2 linked regions of the Sus scrofa genome follow. The protein of the gene in region 1 binds, or shares a complex with, the protein of each later gene. Links are inferred from orthologs where the notes say so. Each region holds a gene or a part of one and is shown on either strand. Other genes may lie near its edges. The genes, in order: ARFIP2 and ARL1.

The links.
Region 2: the proteins of ARFIP2 (region 1) and ARL1 are in contact, whole or in part, in a crystal structure (PDB 4DCN), measured with the Homo sapiens proteins. The link is inferred for Sus scrofa from reciprocal best matches to the Homo sapiens genes ARFIP2 and ARL1. Residues at the interface, in NP_001363487.1 of Homo sapiens: Phe205, Thr212, Lys216, Thr217, Asp220, Asp278, Ile281, Lys282, Phe285, Leu286, Glu288, Asn289, Lys292; in NP_001168.1 of Homo sapiens: Glu17, Arg19, Gln38, Ile46, Ile49, Gly50, Phe51, Asn52, Val53, Glu54, Thr55, Gln64, Trp66, Ile74, Tyr77, Cys80, Tyr81.

The regions. Positions count from the first base shown.
Region 1 is NC_010451.4:3,242,817-3,258,225, forward strand, and holds ARFIP2 (arfaptin-2), read left to right. Parts: upstream 1-7,194; 5' UTR 7,195-7,349; intron 7,350-8,137; 5' UTR 8,138-8,179; coding exon 8,180-8,278; intron 8,279-8,533; coding exon 8,534-8,630; intron 8,631-9,349; coding exon 9,350-9,468; intron 9,469-9,651; coding exon 9,652-9,873; intron 9,874-10,412; coding exon 10,413-10,570; intron 10,571-10,701; coding exon 10,702-10,876; intron 10,877-11,335; coding exon 11,336-11,491; 3' UTR 11,492-12,100; downstream 12,101-15,409. Other genes in the region: TIMM10B (mitochondrial import inner membrane translocase subunit Tim10 B), read right to left, coding at 6,344-6,520, 6,717-6,812, 7,014-7,052. UniProt on the Homo sapiens protein: Plays a role in constitutive metalloproteinase (MMP) secretion from the trans Golgi network. May have important functions during vesicle biogenesis at certain cargo subdomains, which could be predominantly utilized by secreted MMPs, such as MMP7 and MMP2.
Region 2 is NC_010447.5:82,798,558-82,813,294, forward strand, and holds the end of ARL1 (ADP-ribosylation factor-like protein 1), read left to right. Parts: intron 1-1,048; coding exon 1,049-1,186; intron 1,187-5,024; coding exon 5,025-5,106; intron 5,107-6,139; coding exon 6,140-6,251; intron 6,252-9,987; coding exon 9,988-10,166; intron 10,167-11,150; coding exon 11,151-11,181; 3' UTR 11,182-13,581; downstream 13,582-14,737. UniProt on the Homo sapiens protein: GTP-binding protein that recruits several effectors, such as golgins, arfaptins and Arf-GEFs to the trans-Golgi network, and modulates their functions at the Golgi complex.

The sequences.
Region 1 (15,409 bases):
AGGATGCAGGTTCGATCCCTGGCCTCACCCAGTGGGTTAAGGACCCAGCGTTGCCGTGAGCTGTGGTGTAGGTCACAGACTGGACTCGAATCCGACATTCCTGTGGCTGTGGCGTAGGCCAGCGGCCGCACCTCTGATTTGACCCCTAGCCTGGGAACCTCCATATGCCAGGGGTATGGCCCTAAAAAGACAAAAAAAAAAAGATGCTGTATCAATCAGCGTTCTCCACAGAAAGATATCTACATAGCTATATCTAAATAGGTATACAAAGATATAGAGAAATATAAATGTCCCTATTTATCTATCCATCTAAGGAGACTGATTTTAAGGCATTGGCTCACATGACTGTGGGGCTGGCAAGTCCAAAATCCGTAAGGCAGGTCAGCATGCTAGAAATTCAGGCAGAGGTTAATACTGCAGTCTTTTTTGGGTCTTTTCAGGGCCACGCCCACAGCATATGCAAGTTTCCAGGCTAAGGATCAAATCGGAGCTATAGCTGCCAGCCTACAATAGCCACAGCAACGTGGGATCTGAGCCACCTCTGTGTCCTACAGCACAGCTCATGGCAACTCCAGATCCTTAACCCACCGAGCGAGGCCAAGGACTGAACCTTTATCCTCACGGATACTAGTCAGAGTCATTTCCGCTGAGCCACAACAGGAACTCCAATGTTTCAGTCTTGAGGCGGAATTTCTTTTCTGAGAAATTTCAAATTTTGCTCTTAAGGCCTTCAACTGATTAGATAAAGCCCACCCACACTAGTGAGGGTTGTTTCTTTTACTTAAAATCAACTAATTGTAGGAGTTCCTGATGTGGCTCAGTGGTAATGAACCCAACTAGGATCCATAAGGATGAGGGTTCGATCCCTGGCCTCGCTCAATGGGTTAAGGATCCGGCGTTGCTGTGAGCTGTGGTGTAGGTCGCAGATGCAGCTCGGATCCCACACTGCTGTGGCTGGGGTGTAGGCTGGCAGCTACTGCTCTGATTTGACCCCTAGCCTTGGAACTTCCATATGCTGCTGGTGGAGCTCTTAAAAAAAAAAAAGACAAAAAGGAAGTCAACTAATTGTAGATGCAACCGTACCTATAAAATACCATCCTAACCACACCTATAAAATACCATCCCAACCGTACCTATAAAATACCATCCCAAGTACCACCTTGATGGTTAATACTTGATGAAGTAATTGGGTATTGTAACTAGCCAAATTGACACATCAAACTGTTACAGAAGCTATTTAAAAGGAACCCTTAATCTTCCAAAACGAGTCAAAAAACTTAGATCTAATCTCAGCCACTCCCCCTTCCAGTTACCACAAAAGGATGACCTGTCTCTAAAAGCCAAGCTCTAGATCTCTGTTCTGGAAATATTCTCTCTTGCCTTCATTTATCAACAAATATTTGTTGAGCCTGAACTGTGTTGGGCACTAATTCAGTTGTTTGGTCACATCAGTGTACAAAACAAGAACAGTGACAAAAATGCCTCGTTTATGGAGCTGGCATTCTAATGGAGGGATGCACACAAAATGAGGAAACCGACCAGTACCTGAGAAGCCAAAGGGCTACGGAGAAAAAGGGGGTCGGGACTGTCTGGCGGGAGGACGGGTGCAGTTTAAACGTGCGATCCGAGCACGCCTTCACAGGGAGGCGGCATCCAAGCAGACACGACAGCACGCAGGGCAGCCCGTCATCCTACCGCTGGCCTGGTTAATTCTAATTCCTCCGTCAGATCGCAGCTGCAGAATCACTCCCTCAGGGAGGCTGTGCTTCACGGCTCACAGGGAAGTCAGCAGTCGCGTCTGATCCCGGGACAGCGCTCACTCCTCCTCCGTGGCCTTCATCCCAGCTGTTCTCTACCGACCTTCACCGCATCCACGTCCAGCTCCGAGAGAACAAGGACGGCCTCTTCCCCGTTCACCTCTGACCTGTGGAGCTTAACGGTGTTGGTCAAAGCAGCCACCCAAGTATTTATGAAGCGTGTAAATATATGGAGGCATGTGGGGCATACCCAGACACGGGAAAAAAAGAGCCTGGAATTAGAGGATGTGTCTGAACACCACAAACAGATTGATTCTTTTATAACCAAGGCTAAGAGAATCAAACACCGAGGAAACAGGGTTGAAGATGAGGCCCGAGCAGTCATCTGGGTCCTGACCAGAGAAAGCCTCAGAGGCGAGGCTGAGGAGTTAGAAGGCTTCGCGAGGCTTTCGGGAGCCGACCACGACGGTTAAGAGGATTCAAGAATCGCTCTTGGTTAGTAGGGAAAGGGACGGGCAGGTGTGCTCCAGCAGCCCGTTCTCGTCTTTGAACCCCTTTAACTGGGTAAATGACTGCAGGGACAAAGACGACACCTCCCAACCTCCCCTGTAACAAGACCTGCTCATCTGCTGCACCAGGAGCCTTTCCGGTGTTGACTGATCTGTGAATATGAAAGGCAAAAGATACCAAAAAGTGGAATTCTGAATGAAAAACACCTCTACATCACTGGCAGAAGGCCTTAAATGCAGGTTCTCTCGTCCCTTCTGACAAAAAGCCTTTATTATGTAAATATGACTTGACTGAGCCGGGAGGAGACGGAAAGATGTTCATTCAACAAATATTTATTAAGCCCTTTTACATGCCCGGCACTGATAAGGATTCAATGGTGAGCAATAAGGACAAGGACTCTGACCTCCTGAGGTTTATAATTACCAAGTGTACAAGGCTACAGGCCCAAAACAGGAGGGATTACGGAAGCTGGAGCCCAGGAAGAGTCATTTGAGGAAAGAGTATTTAAACTAAGTATGTAAGAATGAGTAGAAGTAGGTAGGGTCAGGGGAAAGCATTGCAAGCCAGGAAACAGCAGGTGCAAAGGCCCTGAGACGACAGAGGTGAGACAGGTTGTGGGAACTGAAAGGCCCAGGGGGTTAGAGCACAAAGCCAGTGAGTGAGTGAGTGAGGTGCGGCCCCGTTCAGGTCAACAAGCAGTATTAACTGTCCAGGGTTTGACAGTCACGAGATCAAGGCAGGCAGGGGCTGGATCACACAGGGCCTTGTTGGTCAAGAATGTCAGTTTTTATCCTAAGAATGGGAAGCTGCTGCAAGGTTTTAAGCATCAGTCTGTATCTTCTGGCCAGTGAATGCGGAATAGACTGGAGGGTGCAGAAGTAGACGTGGGGGGGGGGGCAGGAACTGCAAGAATCCTGGTGGGAGACTGTGAAGATGAAGAAAAGCAGATGGAATCCAGGGATTTTTAGAAACGTAAACTGATCATCTAGCAACTGAGTGAAGGGATGAGTGAGGTTTCTAGCTTCTGCAGCCGGTGGAGCACCAGGCCCAGCGAGAAACATACTGAGTTGGGATCCCCGCCCCGGCTCCACAGTGTGCAGTAGCTTGAGGTGGGATCTCTTTCCAGACTAGAGACTGAACCCTGGCCGCAGCGGTACAAGCACGCAACTCCAACCACAGGACTACCTCGGAGCTGCCAGGTTGGGATATTCTTGAAACACCTCAGTAGAAATATCAATCAGATGGCTCAGGGGTCAGATCTGAGTCACAGTAACTAAAGCTCGGAGTGGAGATAAAACATTTCCAGAGAGATTATACTCAGAAAGAAACATTTGGATTTAATGGCTGGAGGAGACAAGTCCTACAAAGGAGGCTAAGAAGCTGTGGCCAGAGGTGGCAGCAGTGAGACCACAAGTGGAATCACAGACACTAATGAGAGCGAGATGAGGGACTCGGCAACAGCACCAGACGCCCCTGAGAAGTGAAGGAAGCTGGGGAAACCACCACTGGCTCCAAGCAGGTGAAGGTCCCTTGGTGAGCTGGGGTGACCTCGGGAAGAACTCTTCCAACAGAGTAAAGGCTGCAGAAGTCCAAACAGACTGGGTGGAACGGAAATGCAGAGAAGTCAGAGCTGTAAAAGCAGAAACAAACTGGATGGTGCCCGGGCGGCAGTGGCTTGTTTGCTGCACCGGGCTCTTTAGCTCATTAAGACGCTGCTGAGAAGAATCAGGTGGGGAAACGTCAGCACTCTCCGCAGGAGGGAGGACTGGGATGGAGGCGCAGCAACAGGCACTGGCCTTAAGAGGGACGCCGGTCCTGTTTCGACAGGAGGGAGAGGAGAGAATGACGCAGGTGTAGGTGGGTTTGGGGTTGTGAGAAGTTGCGGGAGCTCCCCACTGACAGCTCCGACATTTGCTAACGAGGTAAAAACAAGGCTACCAGCAAAAAGCGAGGAGACGGTGCAGGTAGAATCCTGGTTTGAAATAGTCACTGCAGGGAACAGGAAAGCTGACTTGAAAAATCTAGTGGGATTACAGGGGCTGAGGCTCCATTTGAAGTTGATAACCACGGATTCACGGTGATATAAATCCTCCCTACACTGACTCCCTTATAAGCCTAAATGCATGCACAGATGGTTCATCTTATCCAAGTCCAACAAAGAGAAGCAAGGACATCTAGCCTATTCCAAGCAAATGGCTAGAATTTAAGCTTGACAGGAATCTAATGACAGGAAGGTGTTAATGGAGAAAAAGTGGAAGCAATGGCCTGACTGCTCCAGTGAAACTTGTGTAATAATTTGTGTGATAAAAGGATAAAGTTTTGTCAAAGCTCATCCTCGAGTTGTGCTTCGAATGTCACACTGCTCTCATTATGTCCATGGGACACTTCACGGGAAGACCTGAAGGAGATTTCAGTGGCTTCTGATACATACTGAATTCTTACCTCCTCATCTCTCAAGTGGGGATAATATCGAAACCAGAACCTATACAAAGTGGGTGCTCAAGAGACGATTTTGAGAAGCAGCCTGGTATAGCAAAGAGAACGACACCAGGCTAGCATAGTTCCCTTAAAGAGATATACTTTAAGTATATCGTAAAGTCAGATCTGCCTTTTGAGAGTCTGCTACCAGAAGAATTCAATATCCTGACCTGTATAGGGGGAGAAAACAACTGTTTTGTGGGTGGTTTCAAGTTTTTTGAAAAAGTACTACTGTGGAAACCAACCAAGCTTTTGTCTAAAAGCTCCCATTTCCATTATAAAAACGAAGCATGATCACCGAAGGGGGAATAGCTGAGGGTGAGGTGGGGGGTTAGGGAGAGCAGTGAAGGTGTAAACAGCTGCCATGGTGATGAGAAGAGCAAACAGACCAGGAACCCTCCAAATGCTATTTGTTGGTAGAGCTTGGTTGCAGCTGGGACTGGGAATATTTAGTGGCATTCACTACACAGCTGTGTTTTCCTCTAGCTGTGTGAATGGAGGACCAGAAAAGTTAAAACAGCTGGACTGGGAGTTCCCTGGTGGCCGAGCAGTTAAGAACTCGGCATTGTCACTGCTGTGGCTTCAGTTTGATCCCTGGCCTGGGAACTTCTGCATGCCATGGCATGGCCAAAAAATAAATAATAATAAGTAAAACAGGTGGAATGATACAAAAAGGACACAAGGGCAGCAAAAAAATTCAGGGATGGAGTGACATGCCACTGAGACTGCTGAATACAGAGGTAAACTCCACAAGGGAGGCAATAATGAGGAAAGAATGGAGAGGCTGGAATTAGAAACCATGGGATAGGCACAGCTGGGACAATGCAGAGTAGGGGGCAGGGCTGGAATTAGGAGATCACAGGCGAGCAGTGAGACAAGAGCGTAACATCCAAAAGCTTTTCCTTTCTTCTGTTTTTTTTTTTTTTTTTTTTTTTTTTTTGTCCCCTTAGCCACCACCCTCTACTTCTGTGGTTTTCTCTCCCTTGAGTCTGACTATAGTGCAGAACATGGCTCCCCAAGTTTTCCCCTGACTGCTCCTGAAGACGAGCACACAGACCTCCTCGGTTTAAAGGATTTACTGCTCAATTTCTGGGAGTATTAAGAAAGTAACAACTTGGGGGAGTGGTTAACGTTCTAGAACACCCAGAAGTCCTATAGGTTTCATCTGTCTGGGGCTACTGACTTTCGAAGAGGTAGTGCCTAAAAGCCCTGTGGTTTCTTAATCCATGGTCCTTAATATCTCTAAGCGAACCATTTAAGTCAGACAGATTTAAGGACAGAGTTCCCATTTTCTCTGCCGTCTGGGCACGAACCAGCGTCTTGTTGCCAATTTTAAAGCTGTACCCACAGACCTTCCTTTAACCAGGTGCCTGGGAATGCTGAGGTTTTCCTTCCACACACAGAAGGCAACTTCTCCCTGCCCAGAATATCAACCGCACAGATTACAGCAGGTTTATTAGCTCCAGGAAAAGGAGCAACAGTACCTAGCTCTCAGGCAACTCCTCATTCTCTACATACAGGCTCCATCTTGCCCAAGGTCCACTGCTCCTTCAACGTGAGGGTCCATCCAGTGCCTCCCTTCTCAGCGTTGAGGACAGCTAGCTGCCAGATGGCGAGGCTTCTGGCTGTTCAGCAGCAACACCTGGCACAGCTGAGGCAGCCTCGTAGTCAGCGATGCGGCGCTGTACCAGGGCAGGCATGAGCTGCACGTAAGCGGCCATGAGGCGGTGGTTGGAATGGATCAGCTTCCCGGCACAGCTGTGCAGACAGGCCTCCTGGAAGGAAGACAGGGTGGAAGTAGAAGCCAAAGGTGTCCAGTCAGGTCCGTTTCCCTCCTTCCCATCCCCAGCCTCAGGGCGGAGGTCGTGGGAAGCCAGGGCCGGACGTAGGGGAATTGACGGGAGAGGGAAGCAGTGCACGGTTAGCTCTGAGGCTCGAGGAGCACTTCCCTACTCAGTTCCCCCACCTAACCTCCTCGGCATCCAGAGCTCGGTGATGCAGGCTGGGCACGCAGCGCTGGAAGCAGAGTTCCGTCATCCGATTGTAGACCAACAGGAAGTCCCGCAACTGGGGAGGAAGGGGGACAAGGAACTCAGCGAAGAGGGGGCCACGTCTCAACTCAAGGCCGCGCTGCCGGCGCTTTCCCAGGACCGTGTACCACGGCCCGTGGTTCCCAGCCCTTGGATGCCTGGCTCTCTGGGGTTTCCGCCATGCGAACAGGGATGCTAGCTGGATGCAGGGCCCTTAAGCGACTTAGCTCCCACTCACGTTTCTCAGCTGCTGCTGCTGCTGCTGTTGCTGTTCCATCACGCCGCCGGCGCACAACCTACGTCACTTCCGTTACAGCTTCTAGGGAACGCCCCGGAAGTGACCTCAATGGCTCCCCAGGGGCAGAGGGGTTGGCTCAAGGAGCGCCCGCCCACCTCCCCGCGACGTCACTTCCGCCCTCATAATCGGCTACGTGGCCGGCTTCTTCTGCCCGGGAGAGGACGTCACTTCCGCCGAGTCCCTGACCTGCTGCTAGGATCGCGACGGGAACTGGATCCCGAGATCCCCGCGCGGCCCGGGCCTGGCGCCCTGAGGGGAAGAGCGGCCCGGCCCGAGGTGAGAGGGACGTGCATGGGCGAGGGCAAGGTGAACGCACGAACCTGACCTGAGGGCAAGATGCTTCTGAGCCCTGGGAAAGGATGAGGACACACCTGACGCCCAGGTGTATGGGGGGAGGGCGGAGACTCACACACCTGGGGAGACCTAACTGACTTTGGAAGGGATCACCTCCCTATGTCCTGGGGCAAAGGGACTTTTCCCCGGGGTCGGGAACTTACACCAACTGATTCAACTAAGGCCTGGGGCGGGGGTGGGGGCAGGAAGAGGGGGTGCATGGGATGGAGGAGGGGGAGACCACCTGCAGGAAAGAGGAGGAGACATTAGAGGAGTGTGAAAGGCCAAACAATGGCGAACATACCTGAACGGGGATAGGCACCTGAGCGCTGGGAAAGGGATTGTCTCCTGATGAGGAGGAATACCTGCGTGGGGATAAGCTGCTTGAGAGCACAGGCTTTCTCTCCATTGCCTCAAATAGTGCGTGGCATGTAGTAGGCACTCATTAAATGTCTGTGGAAGGACTGAATGCATGAATGATCCCTGGACTGCTGGGGGGGTGGGGGTGGGGGGGTCATGAGAACATGACCTCTGGTCAGGCACACCTGAGGCCTGGGTGCCTGTGTGTAAAACTTTGCACCTTGGAAGGGAGAAAGACAAAGCCCCGAGGGAAGAGTGGTGGGCAGACCCCACCACACTGAAGCCCCGGGACGGCCTCTGCAAGGGCAGGGGAGACCTTCCTCTTCGGAGAACTGGCCCGTTTCCAGAACTGTCTGTGTTGGGCTTTGCAGGGCGCTGGGGTGGAGACTTTGACTCCAGTCCCTTCGCTCGCCATGACGGACGGGATCCTAGGGAAGGCAGCCACAATGGAGATCCCCATCCACGGGAATGGTGACGCGGGGCAGCTTCCTGAGGATGATGGGCTGGAGCAGGTGCTTCTGTTTGATTCTTCACATTGTTTCAGTTGAGGAATCCCAACTCTTAAACCCTGAGCTCTCTCCTTCTTCCAGTAGCCTTCCCCCAACTCACCTGATTTCCTTCAGTCTTTTTACCAATCTTTGTTCTGATTCTGTGCAGACTTCCCTTGTGTGCTCTCTCTATGATGCTTCAATCCAAGCTTGTTTTCACCCCCAAAATGCTTCAGCTGCCCATATGTTCCTGAAGCCCCCCTCTTCTCTGGCCTATAGGACCTCCAGCAGGTGATGGTGTCAGGACCCAACCTCAATGAAACCAGCATTGTGTCTGGTGGCTATGGGGGCTCTGGTGATGGACTCATCCCCACAGGTATGAATGATCAGAGCAGGATAGGGCATTGAGTGGAGAGGGGAAGAGGACTGGCTCCAGGGGGCATAGGATACGTCTAAGAAGGCGTGAATCATGTCTGGAGCTCGTGGGAACCTCTGCCAGGATGAACCCGCGGGCATCTCAGCCCAAGGCCCGTTCCCAGGGGTGTCCATCTGCCTCCACTTGCCACTTTGTCCCTCAGATATGCCCACTTGTCCCTTCTCTGCCGTCACTACCTGAGTCAGGCAGAGAACTCTGTTCACCAGGCCTCCCCTGCTCTGGAGCTTGAATCTGATTTGGAGCTTTGAGAGGCTTATCAGAGTCTTACGTTAGACTCTGCTATTTAGAGGAACAAGCAGCCCTGAATCTCGCAGTGACTGGGATCCACATGGGAATGTCAGCCAGGTGTTCGGTTCGAGGGGCGCCCAGCCATGGTCAGCGACCCCATTCTCAGCCTAGTCTCCGCTGTTTCCTCTGCCCCTGCACACGAGCAACCCCTCCCACCTCCCTTTCCAGTCCTCACCTCCACGTCAAAAGGAGGCCAGGTGTATGTTGGGATTGGGTCTCAGGGTCCAAGGCATGAATTCCTCCTAGTGAGTCTCCAGCCCTGCTCCTTCCGGGGCGTCATTTTCATGTGCTGGGAGGGAAGTGTGGGTGGAACCACAGAGGCGTCGGATTGTGTCTGAGAGAGGCTGGTGTCAGAGAACTTGGTCCTTTAGGGTCTGGCCGCCATCCATCTCACAGCGCCCCTCCTGCTGGCCCCGGGGATGAGGTGGCCCGGGGCATCGCTGGAGAGAAGTTCGACATCGTCAAGAAATGGGGCATCAACACGTATAAGGTGGGATTCACGCACCTCCTCCGCCCCCTGAGCTCCCCCGGGTACCTCTTCCCCATCTTGCGGATCCTCCTGTCCCATCATCTCGGGCTGAGACTTGGAGTCTGGGGACGCCGGGGTAGACACTTGCTGCGGGGCAGGGCCGGGCGCCAGGGTCTCTGACCTGTTCCCCCACTTCCCACTCAGTGCACAAAGCAGCTGTTATCAGAGCGGTTTGGCCGAGGCTCCCGGACTGTGGACCTGGAGCTAGAGCTGCAAATTGAGCTGCTGCGTGAGACGAAGCGCAAGTATGAGAGTGTCCTGCAGCTGGGCCGGGCCCTGACAGCCCACCTCTACAGCCTGCTGCAGACCCAGCATGCACTGGGGGATGCCTTTGCTGACCTCAGCCAGAAGTCCCCAGAGCTTCAGGTGCCTTGGGCAGGCCAGAGGGGGAGGGGGGCCTGGGCCCGGGGCCCTCCCAGGCAGTCACCCCTCAGCCTCCCTCCTCCCTCCCTCCTGCAGCCCAGAGGGAGAACCCCTCCAGGGTGGGCCCAGCCCCGCCCCCAGCAGCACTCACCAGTGGAGGCAGCCTAAGGGTTTGTACGGAGGTCCAGAAGTCGGAGGGGGTGGGGGAGGCGGCACACTAGGTGCCTCGCAAATAGCCCTTCTCGGCCTCGGCGAGAATGCCTTCGGTGCCCAGCCTCATCGGAGCCGCTCCCTTGCCTGCTGCACTGGCTTGCCCTCTTCCAGTCCCGTGAACTCCGAGAGCCCCGCTCCCACGTTCCTGCCCTAGGCATCCCCAGGGGGGGCCCACGACCCTTCTGGCTAAGAGAGCCTTGCTGGAGGCCGCCCTGGGTGGCTCCAGTTCAGTGGCTGTTTCCTCCGGGGGAAGGAGGGCAGGAAGGGCCCCGCAGCTCTGGTCAGGTGGAGGCCGTTGCTCAAGGCCGGTCCCTGCCTTCTGCCCTCAGGAGGAATTTGGCTACAACGCCGAGACGCAGAAGCTGCTGTGCAAAAACGGGGAGACACTGCTGGGGGCCGTGAACTTCTTTGTCTCCAGCATCAACACGTTGGTGACCAAGACCATGGAAGACACGCTCATGACTGTCAAACAGTATGAGGCTGCCAGGTGTGGGCACTGGCAGGGCCCAGGGGTTGGGGAGGTGGCCGGCATGAGCGGAAGTCTGAGCTTTAGGGGCACGAGCACGGAGAAGGGAAAGGATGGATGGTGGAGACCAGCCTCTCTCACCCCCTCCTCAGGCTGGAATACGATGCCTACCGGACAGACCTAGAGGAGCTGAGCCTAGGCCCCCGCGATGCAGGGACGCGTGGTCGACTCGAGAGTGCCCAGGCCACTTTCCAGGCCCATCGGGACAAATACGAGAAGCTGCGGGGAGATGTGGCCATCAAGCTCAAGTTCCTGGAAGAAAACAAGGTGCTAACCCCACTCCTTTGACCCAGCCCCCCCTCCCTCTTTGACCCAGCCCCCCTCCCCCCAAAGACCGGCCCATCGTTGAATGAAAGTGTAACCTGGCTAAGGAGTGGGGTCTTCCCCCAGCCCACTCAACCCCTGGACCCCTCCTAGCACCCTCCCCCTGATCCCCAGCCCTTTTCTAGTGGACGATGTGGCTGCCAGTCCAGGAACAAAATTGGGAAAAAAATCAGCCCTGGAGCTGGGATGCCAGAGCCCCCTAGGCCCGGCCAGTCAAGCCAGGTTTCTCCTAGCAGAGTGGCTCTTACTCTTTGAGTCCCTTGTCGAAGCTCGGCCCCCACTTCTAAAGCACCCTGGGCGCGGAGTCCACGTCCCCCCCCCCCCCCGCCCCGGTCCAGGCTCAGGCTTACAGCCCCTTGGGGGCGGGTGAGCCCAGTCTCGGTGACCTTACTGGGCCCCCAGATCAAGGTGATGCACAAGCAGCTGCTGCTCTTCCACAACGCTGTGTCGGCCTACTTTGCGGGGAACCAGAAACAGCTGGAGCAGACCCTGCAGCAGTTCAACATCAAGCTGCGGCCTCCGGGCGCTGAGAAGCCCTCCTGGCTAGAGGAGCAGTGAGCCGCTCCAGCCCAGCCTGGCCATCAAGAAGGACATTGAGGGGGCAGGCCCAGGGTGGGGGAGATTTGGACCTGGGACATCCCTTGCCACCTGCCCTCTGGCTTGGGTTCCCTTTCCCTGGCTGGGGCCTGACGCCAGTTTTACCCACACTGCTGTGGGTAGGGAGGGGCTTGCAGGCCCAGCGGCTGCTACCCTGTTCTGTACTTCCTGGCCCCTGGGCTTCATTCCCAGATCTTTTCCTTCCACTCCACAGCCAAAGGCTGTGACAAAACCACTCCCTGGCCAACGGCATCACTCCTCAGGCCGATCCCCAGCTCCTGGGGGGTGCCCCCTGACCAATGGCAGGGCCTCAAAAGGCCCTGTCAGCCAATGGCAGCTCTTCTCAGGCTCCCCTGGGCCAATGATGTTGCCTCCAGTACCCTTTGTCCCTCCTCGATGCGTGCCCATTGCAGAGAAGGGGACTGGGACCAAAGGGGTGGGGATGGGGGAGCCCTCTTTCCGGCCCTGTATCTGAATGGGTCTCCCCTCACCTCCCCACCCAGTTTAATTGTGCTTAGAGCCCTGGAAGATGGGGACCTAGCACTAGGAATAAACCTTTCATAAAAGCAGGCCCAGTGCAGCCAGTTTGTGGGGGACTCTAGGCGGGTGGTCTGGGTGGAGAAGCGCTCAGTCTAACGGTGGCCCAGTCCCGTCAATTCAGGGGAGCTGGGGCCAGACAGCTCAAGTCACGAGCATCAGAAAGAGTCCGAGGGCCCGCTCCCTCCCGAGTCCCAGTAGGAGGCTTTATTTGCCCGTTAGGCTAGCACCGAGACAGCAATGGATCTTAAAACACCGGGCCCCGAGGAGTTGGGCCCCTGACCTCCATCATCCATCCATTCATACGGCAAATACTCACTGAGTGCTTTTATTTGCCAGGCACTGCGCTAGACCCTGGGGAAACATCAGGGAATAAAACACAGTCCCTGCCCACAGTGCTTATGGCCTAGTGGGGGATAGAGGCATGTAACCAGGCAACTAAGACACAGTGAGAGCTGCCAGGTCCTGAAGCTCAGAGGAGGGTGTCTGGTCTAGACGGGGGCCTTGGGGGTGTCCGCCTGAAAGCGGAGACCTGGCAGCCAGGTGAAGGGTATGGGGAAGAGCATTCTAGGCAGAGACCAACCCAGGTGAAGGCTCGGAGTAGGAACTGGAAGGAATTCAGCTTGGAATGGGAAGTGAAGGGGAGTGGCCAGGGGATGACTACAGAGGTAGTAGGTCGTGCCAGGCCTTTTCAGGCTGTGAAGCCTTATCGGGAGAAGTCTCGGGTCCCCTCATGTTGTGTAGCCCTGGCCCCCACTTCTACAGCAAACATGAACTCCGTCTGAGGCTCATTCGCAAGCACCAGAGCACCCGTGCTGGGCCCGGCACTAAGGCGGGTGAGAGGTCAAGGCAGCTTCCAGAGCCACTGCCATCCCGCTGTTGAGCCCAAACCTGACCCTTGTGTGAGGCAAGGAAAGCTCCTGACAGCACCGATTTAGTCGGGGTCCAGGTAGCTCCAGAACCTGGCAGCACCCTCCTCTCCCTCTGGAGGCTGCAGGCCTCTGGCGGTGGCTTAGTCAGGGGGCTGGTCCATACACAAGCCCCTCCACTTTAAGGCCGCTGGAGATTTTTCAGCCTGAAAGGTGCTGAAGCCCGGCCTGACTGGAGGCAGGCCCTCAGGCAGAGCTCAAGGCCTGGTTCCAGCACTTTCTAGCTGGCTGATCAGGGTTAATGTCTGGGGAGCCACGGGCCCTCAGTTCTTTCCGTTGCAAAACCCAGCTAATAAAAGAAGCCACCTATTAAGATGAAGAGTATGAAGGGTAATATATGCAAAGTGATTCGTTATGTGTCTGGCACACAATAAGCACTCAGGCGCTGTTAACTGTTATTGTACTTTTTGATTATTTTCCACCGGGGCTGCTTTTCCACAGTGCGACGATTCTGAGAATTGCTCTGGTCTTTGGAGGGTGGGAGGCAGTCGCTGGAGGGCCTGAACCATAATTTCCTCAGGAGGAGGCTCTGGAGGCAGAGCCCCGCACCTGTGTACCCGTCGGCCGCTTCTCCCAGAGCTCTGGGTGCTGCCCTTCCACCTTGGGGCCCTTCCGCCGCCCCGAGGTCTGGGCCGAGGCACAGACGCCCGGGTCCTCCGCCCAGCAGAGACCACGCCAGCATAGTCCGCAGGAGCCCGCCGGGGAAGCCTGGAAGGGCCCCTCCCCGAGGCAGCCCTTACCGGCTCCCAGCGTCCGAAACCCCCGCTGCCCAGCTGCCTTTTCTGGACGGAGCCCCTGAGACCTGCGCTGCCGCCCGTCCCTGGAACTGTCGGGAGCACGAAGCGGCTGGCGGGGAGCGGGGAGCGGGGATCGAGGATCCGGGCTCCGCGCGCCGCCTCACGGGCTCCCCAGCCGGATCGCGGAGGCAACATCTGCGGGAGTCTCCGCCGGGGTCGGGGAGCGGGGCGGGCGGGGCCTCCGCGGCGGTGGGCGGGGCGTGGGCGGGGCGTGGGTCCCCGCCGCCCCCTCCCCCGGCTGGTCCGCAGCCCCGCCCCGGCCCCTCCCTCCGGCCTGTGCGGCTGGTCCGGCGGCGGCGCCGGCGCGGGGACAGGCGGAGGCGCGGGACGTGGGGCGGCGCCGCGGGCAGGGCCGGGCGGACGGGCGCTGGCAGCAGGGGCAGCGCCGCGGGCCCCTCGGAGTGGCCGCAGCCGGGCCTCGGCCCTCCCATCCTGCCTGGCCGCGGTGAGTGCGACGGGCGGCCCCCCGGGGGGCGTTGGTATCCCCATCTGCCCGGCCCCGGTCCGGGTGCGAGCGGCGGGGTCTGTCCGAGTGTCTGTGGGTGGGGGCACAGATGCTTTCCCAGAGCTGTGCCTGCCTCTGTCCACGTGAGGCGTGTCCCTGTCTGTGAGAGCAGTGGGGGGATTCTTCGGGCTGTGGCTGCTCACGTGAGGTCCATGTTTGGGGGGGAGGCGCGGGTGGATGGGTGATGGATCCTTGGAGCAGCTCGGGGTTTGGGAGCGTGTGTATGTTGGCGGAGGGGGTCGAGTGCTGCGGTCGAGGATGGGCGGGGGGTGGGGGCGCGGGTGGGGTTGCGGAGTGGGACTCTGGAGTCTTGTGGCCCAGCTCGTCCGCGGGCTCCTTTCTCGCTGGTGCAGACTCTTCCAGCCCTTGCCACCCCCTCCATCCTCCTCAGGTACCTAGCGGCCCCCCGGGGGCTCTAGGGGACACCCTTTTCTCCTCTCGCACTGGCCCCTGGACAGGAAGCCTCCTCCGGAGGCTGTTTCTTGCAGGAAAGGACCCTTCTGTTTCCCCTGCAGCCTGGGCCCGCCTGGAGGACCCCAGGCCCCTCCCTGGTCCTGGCCTCCTCCCTTCTGGACTTGGCTCCAGCTCATGGGCTGCAAACCTGCAGGGACAGATGGTTGCAGGTCGGAGGGGCAGGCTGCATCCCAGGGAGGTCAGTCCGCTGAAGGCCGGCTCTGGGCTCGCTCCTGGCGTGGGGGTCTCTGATGTGGAAAGCAAACCCAGGGCTGGCCCTGGTAGCAAGATGAGATCTGGGAGGTTGGAACAGGTGCAGAGGTCTTTTGCACAGGTCTCTCCTCGCCTGTCCGTCCAGCTCATCAGTGCCCATTCATCCCCTGAAGCAGGGCTCTGATTTGCTGCAGAACTGGAATCAGAGCTGCAGGCCTGACAGGTGCCCTGCCTCTCTTGGCTTGCATGCCTCCAGTGACAGAGCACTTACCACCTTCTGCTACGGGAAAGCTTCTTTGTGTGAAGTGGAGGGCTTTTTCCTTGGAACTTTGTTCCCTTGTCTTGTTACTGCCTTTGATTTTGCCTCTCTGTCTGGTGAGAAGGAACTGCAGTGATTTAAACATGGCTCTCCTGTCACCAGCATATACTGAGCACCCTCTGTGTG
Region 2 (14,737 bases), on another chromosome or scaffold:
TCTACTTGCTTAGCAGATTTCAAGTGTATGATACATTGTTGTTACTTATAGTCACCATGATGTTTATTAAAAGTCTCCACAATTTATCTTCAAACAGTTTATATCCTTTGACTAACATCTTTCCTATTTCCCCCATTTCCCGGGTATCTATCTGGTAACCACCGTCCTATTCTCTGTTCACAAGTGCTTTTATATTACACAATACCTTGTGTGTAAAAAGCTTTCTGGTAATATTACATAATGCACTGAATGTAGCTTTCTTATTTTTCTAATGATTTTCCATCAAAAATAGTTTTTTTTTTTTTTTTTTTGTCTTTTTGCTATTTCTTGGGTTGCTCCCGCGGCATATGGAGGTTCCCAGGCTAGGGGTTGAATTGGAGCTGTAGCCTCCGGCCTACGCCAGAGCCACGGCAACACAGGATCCGAGCCGCATCTGCAACCTACACCACAGCTCACGGCAACGCCGGATCGTTAACCCACTGAGCAAGGGCAGTGATCGAACCCGCAACCTCATGGTTCCTAGTCGGATTCGTTAACCACTGCACCACGACGGGAACTCCAGTTTTTTATTTTTTTATTTTTTGGCTTCGTCTCAGTATTTTGTGCTAGTTCTATTCCTTACAGAGAATACTCAATGATTGAAGGTACTTAAGATGATATTGCTGCTATACAGCAATAATAATTACTTTTCATGTTCAAGAACCTCATTGTTTAATGTCATTCTGATTTGCACTTTGGGGTAGTGAGGAGATGATGCTAAGAGAGCTGCATTCTCCTCAGTAGAAAGTGAGCTTCATGAGGACAGTGGTCATATTTCTCTTGTTTTTGAGTGTATCTTTATCTCTCTGACACCTGGTATCTACTAGAATGTGGTAGCAATTAGTAATTACTATTTTGATGTTGAATAATATATTTCACGGGAGCAAAATATACACCTATGAATTACAATAGTATTTAATTTGGTATAGCTTTCAAAGGGCAAGATTAAATCTTTTGTGGACATAGCTCACAAAATGGTATTGAAATTCATTTTTGTTATTTTTTTAAGGTGGCTTTTTCTCAAGCATTTTCTCCAGTCTGTTCGGAACCCGGGAAATGAGGATTTTAATTTTGGGATTAGATGGAGCAGGAAAAACTACAATTTTGTACAGATTACAGGTTGGAGAAGTCGTAACCACTATTCCTAGTAAGTGTTTGTGTGATAAACTGATTATAAGGGCTTTCTGTTTCCATCCAACGTAACTTTATTTGCGAATAAATAATTGTATATTGTAATTGATAAGGTTTGTAAACTTCTACTATGAGCATAATGTTGGTAACCCTTTTTTTTTTTTTAAATAAAGCTGTCTATTTTTAATAAGGTTTTTTTTTAATAATTTTTTTATTTTCCCACTGTACAGCAAGGGGGTCAGGTTATCCTTACATGTATACATTACAATTACATTTTTTCCCCCACCCTTTCTTCTGTTGCAACATGAGTATCTAGACAAAGTTCTCAATGCTATTCAGCAGGATCTCCTTGTAAATCTATTCTAAGTTGTGTCTGATAAGCCCAAGCTCCCGATCCCTCCCACTCCCTCCCCCTCCCATCAGGCAGCCACAAGTCTTTTCTCCAAGTCCATGATTTTCTTTTCTGAGATGTTCATTTGTGCTGGATATTAGATTCCAGTTATAAGTGATATCTTATGGTATTTGTCTTTGTCTTTCTGGCTCATTTCACTCAGTATGAGATTCTCTAGTTCCATCCATGTTGCTGCAAATGGCATGATGTCATCCTTTTTTATGGCTGAGTAGTATTCCATTGTGTATATATACCACCTCTTCCGAATCCAATCATCTGTCGATGGACATTTGGGTTGTTTCCATGTCCTGGCTATTGTGAATAGTGCTGCAATGAACATGCGGGTGCATGTGTCTCTTTTAAGTAGAGTTTTGTTCGAATAGATGCCCAAGAGTGGGATTGCGGTAACCCTTTTTTTTTTTCTATAGAGTTCAGTGTAATTAATGCACCTCTTTGCGTGGTAGAATTTTGCCATTTAGAGCTATTTTAAAAGTTGGGTAGAGGTATATCACCTAATCTCATTGAGAGCCAGTATTTTCATTGATAAAATGAAGATTGGCTTTGAGGGGGAGTACATCAAGTATATAAAATACTCTGTAAGCCTGTGTAAAGAATTATATAGAGGAGTTCTCTTGTGACTCAGCACGTTAAGGATCCGGCATTGTCACTGCAGTGGCTCTGGTTACTACAGTGGTGCATGTTCGATCCCTGGCCCAGAAATTTCCACGTGTTGTGGGTGCTGCCAAAAAAAAGAATTGTATAGCTATTAAGTGATATTATACATGTGAAGCAGGGTTTTTCCTGTATTTGTAACTATTTAAGATTAGTTTCTCTTAAGCAATTCTATTGATTACTTTTCAAGATGTGAGTTGTTGAAGAGACTGAGTGTTGAATTAATCTAGTACTTGAACATATCCAGAAATAACTCTAAATCAATTGATATCTTAGAAAAATGTTCTTCAGCAGTCCTATTTTACTACATAAGAATGTTGTCCTGTTACTTATATGCTTTTTTCATTGTTGCCCTGAATTTACTTAGAGAAAATTAGTGCACTTAAACTAAGTTTGTAGAGTTCACTCAAGAATATTTGAATTATGCCTTTTGGAGTTCCCGTCGTGGCTCAGCAGAAACGAATCTGACTGGTATCCATGAGGATACAGGTTCGATCCCTGGCCTCGCTCAGTGGGTTAAGTATCTGGCGTTGCCATGAGCTGTGGTATAGGCTGCTGACGAGGCTCAGATCCTGCATTGCTGTGGCTGTGGCTGTGGCATAGGCTGGTGGCTACAGTTCCAATTAGACCCCCAGCCTGGGAAACTCCAAATGCTGTGGGTGCAGTTCTAAAAAGACACACACACACACAAAAAGTGTATTTAAATTATGCCTTTAAAGTTACTTTGTCACTCAAGGAACGTCTGTATATAATACCATTTAAATTTCCAGATTAAAAAAGAAATCTAGCTTTTATGAAAGAGGAACTTTTCTGTGTCATCTGTTACTTCTTTTTGCCACCCTCAGTAAATTTCATCTTCCTCAGTTTTTATGTCTCAGAATTGCCCATTTGTGCTGCAGTTGAGTCTTGGTGGCTTCTTTAGTACACGTAGCCCAGTGGATTACATTTCGGCCTGATTGTGAGTGTGGTTTATACTTGTCCACACTTTTCCTTTGCACATAAACAGTGTTCCTAATTGAGGTGAAGATTGTGATTACACTGTTACCCAGTTCTAAGGGAGGTATCATGAACTTTTTAGTTTTTCACTTAGTTTTGCTATAGTGTAATTGTTTTTTTCTTTTTATAGCAGTGCCTGCAGTATATGGAAGTTCCGGGGCCAGGGCTTGAATTAGAGCTGCAGCTGCAGGCCAATGCCATAGCCACAGCAACATCAAATCAGAGCCATATCTGTGACCTATGCTGCAGCTTGCAGCAATGCCGGATTCTTAACACAATGAGAGAGGCCAGGGATCGAACCCATGTCCTCCTAGACACCATGTTGGGTTCTTAACCCACTGAGCTACAATGGGAACTCCAGTATAGTTATTTTTTTAGTTGTAATAGCTTACTTGCCACGTGCTCATAAGCATCATTTGCCAGTAAAAACTTAAATCTTAAAAATTGTCTAGTTACATCTGTCTTTTTTTACTTTTTTTTTAAGTTTGTAAAATTTTAGTGATCATTGTGTATGTTTGTGTGTATGTATAAAACATAGCTCCTAAGTTTTTTTCAGCATCCTCTCTACCCTCTTTTTTTTTTTTTTGTCTTTTTTTTTGCTATTTCTTTGGGCCGCTCCCACGGCATATGGAGGTTCCCAGGCTAGGGGTCGAATCAGAGCTGTAGCCCCTGGCCTAGCCAGAGCCACAGCAATGCGGGATCCGAGCCGTGTCTGCAACCTACACCACAGCTCACGGCAACGCCGGATCGTTAACCCACTGAGCAAGGGCAGGGACCGAACCCGCAACCTCATGGTTCCTAGTTGGATTCGTTAACCACTGCGCCACGATGGGAACTCCCTCTCTACCCTCTTTTAGACTCCTTTCAGTGGAGTAGTATCCTTCCTTAGCCATGTGTTGCCAGAGCTCCACTTATGGAGGATGGTAGAGGAAAGGGACGGGACACCTCCCCTTTGACCATCCCGCTGTGACCTTACTACAAATGAGCTCTTGGGGAAGTCTTCAGAGGGTCTGTGAAATTGCCAGCCTCAGAGAACCTTAAAGGAGTATAGAGCCATGCTGTGCCCTTACCCACTGAAGTTTAGAATCTATCTAGGCTTTCTTGGTTTTGTTCCCTGTTATTTGACTACCTACCAAAATTCCTTTTTTTTTTTTTTTTTTGGTAATGTCTATAACTGTTCTTTCTAAATATAACTTTCTGAACACTTTTGTATGCCAGTACTGTATTATAAGGGGAGTTTAACATAATAGGGTTTCCACTGAGCTACGAATTTCATATTTGCAGAGATTCTTGTATACCCTGAAAATGGGGCTGATTTTGCTAATTAATGCCTGTGTGTGTGTGTGTGTGTGTGTAGCACTGCATGCTGTCTTAACTTAAATGGAAGACTACTCAGCTAATAATGTTATTCAACAATTACTATTAATTTCGGAAACTCAGATTATGTACTGTTTTTTTGTGTTTTTTTGGTTTTTTTTTTTTTTTTTTTGCTTTTTAGGGCTGCACCTGTGGCATATGGAAGTTCCCAGGCTAGGGGTCAAATCAGAGCTGCAGTTACTGGCCCATACCACAGCCACAGCAACATGGGATCTGAGCCACATCTGCAACCTACACCACAGCCTGTGGCAATGCCAAATACTTAACCCACTGAGCAAGGCTAGGGATCAAACCGCATCCTTATGGATACTAGTTGGGTCCCTAACACGCTGAGCCACAGTGGGAACGCCCCAGCCTGTGTGCTTTGAAGATAGAATGCACTAATCTGCATAAACTACTAATCTAATTTCTCTTCCAGCCATTGGATTTAATGTTGAGACGGTAACATACAAGAATCTTAAATTCCAAGTCTGGGATTTAGGAGGACAGACAAGTATCAGGTATGGTACAAAGGCCATCTTAGTTTTGCAGTATTGAATCTTTATTAGTTCTTTTAGGGTTAATAGCAGTAAACCAAAACATACCTTCCTCTTAATTTTATTGGGACCCACCTTGTCTAAATTGAGTAAAACTGCCTTCTTCTTTCAATTAAGATCTGAGAATTAAAAATTTTAACTAAAGAATTAAAATCTAAGGAAGCTAGTTTTTCAGATATCACTTAAATGAAAAATTTTTCCACGAATATCTCAGGACCTAAATACTTCGGTAATTTGAAATCAAGAGGGTCCTCTATTTAGTTCTTGTCAGTCCCTTGCTCTATGAGACAGGCTGTTTTGGATTTCATGAAAATACCTTTTAGGTCCACCATTTGGGCTAATATGAACATAGATGCCCTCTGAAAGTCAGGTCTCCTGCCCATCATTCTGTGCTTGACATGGCAACTGTGAAGGTTTAATGGCTGTCACCGATTCCTCACGAGGCTACTTACTATCTTAAAAGATCAGTAGTGCATTCCCCAGACATCCTGCTGCCTTCCACTCATTTTATTTCTTGAACCATTTTTGCGTCTATTTCTAGTTTTAGCCATTTTTACTTGTCTTCAGTGATCAATTTAATGTCTACTATAAAAAATTATATTAAAATTTTTTTTAAGAACCCATCCCTCTTAAGGAGTTTCTTGTTAAAGATTTAGAAGATACAACAATTAGGTCTGTGTAGAACATTTTTTTATCAGTACATTTAGTGATGCTGTAGATTATAAATGTATTTTCTTAGCCTAAAGCCTGAACTCATTCTGAAGTTCCTTGTTCCTGTGATTTATATTTATGAACATTTTTTCCATCCTGTCCCACCTGAGGGGTGTATGTCTGTCAGAAACAGTGAGTCATTATGCATTGATTCTACATGGGTGGGGAAAGATTGGCGAGTTATACCCCCTACGCCAGTGTTGCCAAGACCCAGAATGTAAATTAACATCTCAGTTTCTTCTTCTTTTAAATAATAATATGTTCTCCCTTTCTGAATTTTCTTTAGGCCATACTGGAGATGTTATTATTCAAACACAGATGCAGTCATTTATGTAGTAGACAGTTGTGACCGAGACCGAATTGGCATTTCCAAGTCAGAGTTAGTTGCCATGTTGGAGGTAAGAAAGCTTTGTAAAAATGTGGGGAAATAATTTACATTTACTTGCTGTTTTCATTGTTTATTGTCACATACAGGAATAATTAAAAGGAAAACAGAGGAGTTCCCTAGTAGCCTAGTGAACGGATCGGGTGTTCTTGTCACTACTGTGGCTCAGGTCACTGCTGTGGTGTGGGTTCCATCCCTGGCCCAGGAATTTCTGCATGCCTTCCTTGGGTGGGGCCAAAAAAAAGGGAAAACAGGGATTAGTACCATTTTCTTCCTTACAAATTCCTATTCCAAAAATATTGTTGGAGAAATAAAAACAAATACCTTGTGGCAACGCCAGATCCTTAACCCACGGAGGCCAGGAATCGAACCTGCATCCTCATGGGTACAGTTAGGTTCTTAACCTGCTGAGCCACAGTGGGAACTCCTGTTACTCTTGCTTGGAATGCTTTTTCCAAATCTTTGCATGGCTGCCTTCTTGACATGTTTCATTTGACATGTTTATTCTGCAGAGAGGGATTTCACTTATATTCCAACCCCTTATCCTACTTTATTCTTTGCACCACCAATCATTTCTTTCCATTATTTTAAAATATATTTGTTTAATTATATATACCTCTCACCCTAAAATGGAAAAGACTTTGAGTTTTACATCTGTACCCATGATGTGTAGAACCACGTGCAGCTCTTAAGTAAGAGCTCAGTACGTTGTTTTCACTGAGGTTTGTAAGATAATTCATTGGCTAGCTGACTGAAATCAGGATGCATTGACTAATCAGCTAAGTTTTAAAACCTCCATTTGTTAAAAAGCTTTTCAAATATACGAATGATTAATTTAATTAATAACAAAATTACCTTTGCTTGATAAAATTAGATGAGTAGATTTCTTTTTCCCACCAACATTACTATTCTGGATTATCTGATCATTGAATGTTTAAATGTTAAATTCTAGGCCACTTGATTACCTACTTCAGACTTCTCATTTTTTGGATGACCAACATCTTAGTAGCTTCTGAGTTAGAAATTGCAGACCTAAAGTTTTACAGTTTTGCTTAATTGCTTTTACAATATAGCATCATATTTATCATAAGAGCTTCTTACTTCTTAGACCAAATTTAAAGTATAAGGAATTATTTTTTTTTAATAGCTGTGCCCATGGCATGTGGAAGTTCCCAGGCTAGGGGTCCAGTTGGAGCTGCAGCTGTCAGCCTACACCACAGCCACAGCAATGCCAGATCCACTCTGCATCTGCGACCTACACAGCAGCTCACAGCCACTCTGGATCCTTAACCCACTGAGTGAGGCCAGGGATGAACTTGAATCCTCATGGATACTAGTTGGGTTCGTAACCACTGAGCCGCAACAGGAACTGCAAAGTATGAGGAATTTTAAGGGACTGGTTAATTGCCTTGGGTATAACAGATTTTTAAAATAAAATCTTTATTTAGATGTAAATCATGTGGTATAATAGATTTTTATTGTGTAAAATACTGTAGAAAAGAAATGGATTTTTAACTTTATTCCACAGTTCTCAAATTGTGCTAGATTGTTGTTAGGTTTTTTGTGGTATTAAGATTTGACTTGTATAATCTTAGGAAGAAAGGACTAAAAAATTTATTCATTCTTTAGAAAGTAACTTAATCAATTCAATCAATAAATAATGATATAATGTACATGTGGAGTAGGAGTCAGAACTACTATATTAAAATATATAGGCACAGGAGTTCCCATTGTGGCGCAGTGGAAACGAATCTGACTAGGAACCATGAGGTTGTGGGTTCGGTCCCTGGCCTTGCTCAGTGGGTTAAGGATCCGGCGTTGCCGTGAGCTGTGGTGTAGGTTGCAGATGTGGCTCGGATCCTGCATTGCTGTGGCTCTGGCGTAGGCCAGCAGCTGTAGCTCCGATTCAGTCCCTAGCCTGGTAAACCTCCATATGCCACAGGTGTGGCCCTAAAAAGACAAAAAAAAAAAAAAATTATAGGCACAAAATCAATTTGTTTTACCTTTGTACACAAAAATTTTGTGTATTTATTTACTTATTTTTATTTTTGTTCTTGTTTTCTCAGGGCCATTCCCACAGCATATGAAAGTTCCCAGGCTAGGGGTCGAATTGGAGCTGTAGCTGTTGGCCACAGCTATGCCACATCTGAGCCTCATCTGCAGCCTACACGCAGGTCATGGCAACACCAGATCCTGAACCCACTGAGTAAGACCAGAGATCCAGTGCGTATCCTCATGGATACTAGTCAGGTTCATTACCGCTGAGCTACAATGGGAATTCCCCCAAATTTTAAATGAATTAAAGAACTAAATACAAAAATGGAAATCAGGGGAGTTCCCTGGTGGCTCAGCGGGTTAAATATCCAGTATTGCCATTGCTGTGGCTTGGGTCACTGCTGTGACATGGATTCGATCCCTGGCCTGGGAACTTCCACATGCCATGGGTGTGGCCAGAAAAAGGGAAATCATTATAAGTGTTTAAAATTTCTGAATTGGGAAGGTTTTTCTGAATCAAATGATTGGAAACAATTACAAAAGAAGTGATAGATTATATTAATAGAAACCAAAAAACAACCAAAGCTCAGATGCCAAACAATACAAATTAGGGTAACATAGGGAACTGCACAGTTTCATAACTAGTGACACTAGGATTAGTGTTCTTAATCATATAAATACCTTTTGCAAATCAATAGAAAAATGAGCAAGAGGCATGAACCTACAGTTTATGGGAGAAAAGTATATTGCAAATAACATTTGCATTTCTAGTACCCTGGTAATAAATAAGTATATAATGATATGCTATGTGTGAAGAAATACAGTGTCCAGTTCTGCCAAAGCTGCATTGAAGACGGGCACTGTCATATGCTGTTTGTGGAGTTGGAATTGTTACAACCTCTCTAATAGCCTGGAAAAAATTTCATACTTTGATCCCATTTTCACAGAACAGTGATGAAGGAAATAAAGATTTGCAGAAAGCTTTCTATGTAATGATTCTATCACTTGGGTTCTCTAATACTTGAATGAAAAGAATCTACTAAGAATCTAATACTGGAAAACAGTTCTATCATGTATGGCGCATGCATTCATAGTGTAGAGTATATTTAGCCATTAATTAAAAAATTTTTTTATGATTTTGAAAAATATCTACAATATGTTTGTTTTTTAAAGGAGGTATGGAACCATATTTAAATGTGATCTTAAATATATGAATATATTTATTAAATAAACTATAAGTATCTGAATTACAGAGCAGTAGAAAACACCCAAAATGTTAAGCAGTGATCATGTTCAGGAGATAGGATTATGGGTGAAGTTTCATTTCTTCATACTTCTCTATAATTTAAATCATTATAATGAACATTATATATTAATAATTAGGAAATGTGCTTTTATTTTATTTATTTTTTTGCTTTTTACGGCTGCACCTACAGCATAGGGAGGTTCCCAGGCCAGGGGTCCAATTGGAGCTGCAGCTGTTGGCTTATGCCACAGCCATAGCATCGCTGATTCCGAGCCGAGTCTACAACCTATGTCACAGCTTATGGCGACACCAGATCCTTAACCCACTGAGCAAGGCCAGGGATCGAACCTGCAACCTCATGGGGTTCCTAGTTGGATTCATTTCTGCTGCACCACAACAGGAACACCTAGGAAATGTGCTTTTAAAGTAATGGATATTTTGGCATTTTTTCCTAAACTCAAGGAAGCAAATTGATTAGAAGCAATAAAACATTTTCTATTTTATTTAGGAAGAAGAGCTTAGAAAAGCCATTTTAGTGGTGTTTGCAAATAAACAGGACATGGAACAGGCCATGACTCCGTCAGAGATGGCAAATTCGCTTGGCTTACCTGCCTTGAAGGACCGAAAATGGCAAATATTCAAAACTTCAGCAACCAAAGGCACTGGCCTTGATGAGGCAATGGAGTGGTTAAGTATCATGTTTCTAGAAGTCATTTGCGTATTTGTGTGTACATGCAGCTGTGTACAAATGTGTAATTTCCCTTTAGTCTTGATGAAATTCAGATTACTTAGCTAGCTGTTTATCATATTAAGTTCTTTTGGCCTTTTCTTCCACTGGCCTTCATGTACATATGCTTTTATTTCACCCACACCTACCTTTTATACTTAGATAAGCCAGCTCTCTGCTCTGTTTCTAGCTTTCCCCTGCCTCACCCCACCCTCCAATTCCTTGTGCTTGCAGTTAAGGTTCTCTTCTCAGTAGCCTTCCCTGATGTGTCTCCATGCCCACTGCCTTGAGCACACACATAGGTGTCCTTGTCACAGGTCAGTGACCTAATAGAACTTGTTCCACTATCTTGTAATTGGTTTGTGCATCTACTCATTAGATCATCATCTCCTTGACGACTGAGACTAGTTTTCCTCCCTGAATTATCTACATCTTACCTGGCTACAGTAGTAGCAGCCTGGAAAGTGGATATTTGGTCTTTTTTGATTATTCATTCAAAGCGTAGACAAAGTGAAAAACTAGAAAGATCCTCATGGAAATTGAGTCCATCGCCTTATTCTTCTGATATAACTATCTTAGCCTTCATCATTTAAAGTACTTTATTTTATTCTATCTTGTCTTTTTAGTACCGCACCCAAAGCATATGGAGGTTCCCAGGCTGGCCTACTCCACAGCCACAGCAACGCCAGATACAAACCATGTCTTTGACCTACACCAGAGCTCACTGCAACGCCAGGTCCTTAACCTACTGAGCAAGTCCAGGGATCGAACCCATGTCCTCATGAATACTAGTTGGGTTCCTTAACCACTGAGCCACGACAGGAACTCCCATTTAAAGTGCTTCTGGAATCTACTTCCAGTGTGAAATTTGTGTTACAAATGACCATGCCCTATACCTAAAAATTTGAAGTTAATGTTATAGAACTTCATTTTTCTCTTCACAGGTTAGTTGAAACATTAAAGAGCAGACAATAATTCAGTCACTTCTGTTCCTCTGAAATGAAGACCACATCACATATCCCTTTGGAAACAGCTAAGTGTGCTTCACACTACAAAATGTTAAAACTGTATGATCGCTGGCATATACCGAACTGACTGCAACATTTGTAATAAATATAACAAATAAGTATCTGGTTGGAAGGGTAACTCATCGTGATTGAACCCACTGAAAGTCTGTTCTGTATAATGTAAAATACTCCTTCCTTGCTTTCTAGTGTTAAGGTATATAGTTTATTTGTATGGAATTCTTATTTAGATACAGTTCCATTAAAGAATGTACTTATTGAGGAAAAAACCTTCCAATTTTTAAATTAGTGGTTGCAGCTTGTTTGTATTAACACTAATAAATATCTTGACTCAGATGTTCCCCCCTAAAATGAATTTAAAAGGTTTTCCAAAGATTAGGCGCCATAGAGTAGGCTAAGAACCTAGTGTGGGTAATTTTAGTCTTCATTTGCTTAATGACCACTTTATTTAAGCTGCTTTATTTAAAAGCTTTCGGTTATAGGCATGAGTTAAAGTGATTATTCTGGTGGTTAACTTCACTGACTTATCTGTAATTATCATTTTTTAGTATCTATAGTTATTGGGACAGTTTTACAGATAATGGATCTACGAAGCTAGGACAGGATGTAATGTCTTCATCTTTATAGATGTGGACCCAGGGTTCTGATAGGCTTGTCCAAGGTTACCTGCTAGTGAGGTGAGTCTCAGATGAGACTTCAGGGTCAGAAGCTTGTCCCATAAACTACATCATGCCAACATTATCAACAGAGCTCCTTATATTAAAATTTATGCTAATTGAAGTAGACACGGCACATTCAAAATAAAGTCTATAAATGTATTTCCCCTTACTAGTGGAGGTAGTAAAAATAGTCCTAAATGGTTGTATTTGATGGAATTCACAACATACTAAAGAAAGTTTCACATTAAAGGATTTTTTTTTTAAAGAGCTATTTTAAGAAGCATTATAAAGTATGTCTTTTTGATTTCTTTTATCTACCTGTAATTGGACCTTTAAGTTTGGTGAAAAGTCAAGCTCTTTTTGGTTCTATAAGGAGAAATTGAGTACTCCTGAAGTTTAAATTTATGCTTACTGCTGCTAGGTATCAAAAACAATTGAACAAAAGTTTTAAGGGAACTTTTCAAACTACCCAGTCTGCCGCAGGATTGGCTACAACATGGCAGGTAAATAGAGTCCTTAGTAATTACTAAAATTAGGGGGAACCTTTTTCATTTTTTAATTTGGACAAGCAGTATTTAAAAAATTAGTTGCCAGTAAAGAGAACTTAATACCATTGTGCCCCTCAGGTCTCAGGAAAACTAGTGGTTCATTTCCTGTCCCTGCCATTGTCCTTCCAGATGTTGGCCTCTGGCCACTTTCCTTCACTTTTGGTCATTCAGCTCTTCACCCGTGGGACTTGTACTCTTATCCCCCAGGACCCTATCCTAATATTATGTTTTCTTGGAAATATTTTTTGGAGACCTTTCTCTAGGGACGAGTGTTCCCAGTGCACCTAATATTACTGAGCATACAACTAAACATTGGTTCATAGTTTCCAAGGCACTCCTGAGGGACAGACTTATTCATATTTATATATTTAGAAACGAGTATGGTGCGTGGCGCATTACGGCACCTCAGAATATGTTCATGGTTGGGTTGGGTGTGTATCTGTTAGCTAGGAAAAGAGTACATCTGTAATTTATACTTGGGTCCCTTTCCGGCCAGTGGCCCACTAGTGCTGGGCTAAGTACTCCCAAGTAGTTGAGGAGCACTGTGAAAGTGGAGGATGGGGAGGTGCAGCCCTGGCACCAAAGGCGAGCAGTTGGATGATTCTGATCCCTCTGGTTTGTTACAGTGAACCGGCTGGGGTAAATACATAGGGCATACACTTATTTTAATATGCTATGAATTATAAAGAATTTGTCTAGCAGGAAACAATTGTACAGGTACGTCACAGGAGTTTGAAGTTCTTACTTATAAAAATCTACGAGTATTGTTTTGTGGGAAGCCTGAAAATGGGAAAAGCACCAAACCAGAAATCAGAACGCATGAGTTCTAGGCACAAAGGGCCATTCCATCAGTTTTTGTTTTTGTTTTGGACAAATGGTATCAGAGGTTTCTTTTAGCTCTAACATTCTATTTTATAACTCTGGTTGGTAGTTGTGCAGTGTCATGTGATCTATAGAAAAAAATGAGAAATTGAGACTGGTGGAATTCTGTATCAGGATACCTGAGATGCACTTTAAATTGTGGAAATGTAAGCTCCTTGAGGGCAGGGACCACACCTTATTTACTGTTAGAGTCCCTTGCATCTAGTATGGTGCACCGGGCACATACTAGGCACTCAATAAATATTTACCGATGAAAACAAAGCTGTGCTCAATATACTTGAGAGATGTATTCTTTCTGATTTTTGCCTTTGTATTAACTTTTGTTTTTTTGATCTAAAAACTTTTATAAAAGCAGTACATACGCTTTAAGTCACTTAGAATTGAGTCTGCCCTTCCAAGATGCCCTGTGTTTATCCTTTGACACATTACAAACTCCTTGGAAGTGTGAGAACTCCTGTTTGAGACAAGACTACATCAAAGCATAGATGCTGAAGTTCATGAGTGTTTGGACACTTGATTACTATGTCATATGCTATAGTAGTCTAACCCCATAATTACAATTATTAACAGCATAGGCTTTCAGTCGGGTTTGAATCTTGACTTTGCCACTTACAACCTATGTCACCCTTAGGTAGATAATTTAATATGAGATAAGATTCCTCATCTGTAAAATAAGTTTTAGGAAGCTCTCAGGAAGACTGTGAAGGTTAAATAAAACGTATAGGATGGATTCTTCCTCCCCTCTCCCTTCCACATACATTGGGCACTAAAGAATATGCTTCCACATCAAGTGTAGAAAAGAGGCAAAAGATAGCATATGGTTGAACAAGATAATGCCAGGTTATTTTCCAGTGATTTATTCGAGTTCCCTCTCTACCATGCTTGCCACCACTTGGTATTGTCAGCCTTATTAATCTGAAGGGTTGAAAGTGGAATTTCATTCTGATGTTAATCTGCATTTTCCTCATTATTAATGAGGTTGAATACAGAAGTGACTAAAAATATTTAGCAACTAAACATAGCTGATGCAGGAAAACCCCTAGTAAGTCCGGGTGTTAATCCTTAAATTTCTGGGGTGGGGAGATGTGGAGTCTAGGGAGGCACTTGGGGGTCAGGGTAGTGACTACTTACTAACGAGTATAAGTACTTTAATATTTAAGAACTGGTATAGAATAGTAGCGAAATGTTAAGGTTTAAGGGCTATTTATATTTCTTCTGTGCAATGCCTATTTCTTTTGCTATTTTCTCCGCAGTATTATTTTTGTTGATTCATAGCTATTTGTTATATGGCCTGGGTACTCCTAATCCTTTATCAGTATATGGTACCTACCACATCCCAGTGGTGTCTTTTTATAAGTAGTTCTTAATTTTAATGAAGTAGGGTTTATCCCTCTATAGAGACCACTTTCTGTTTTAG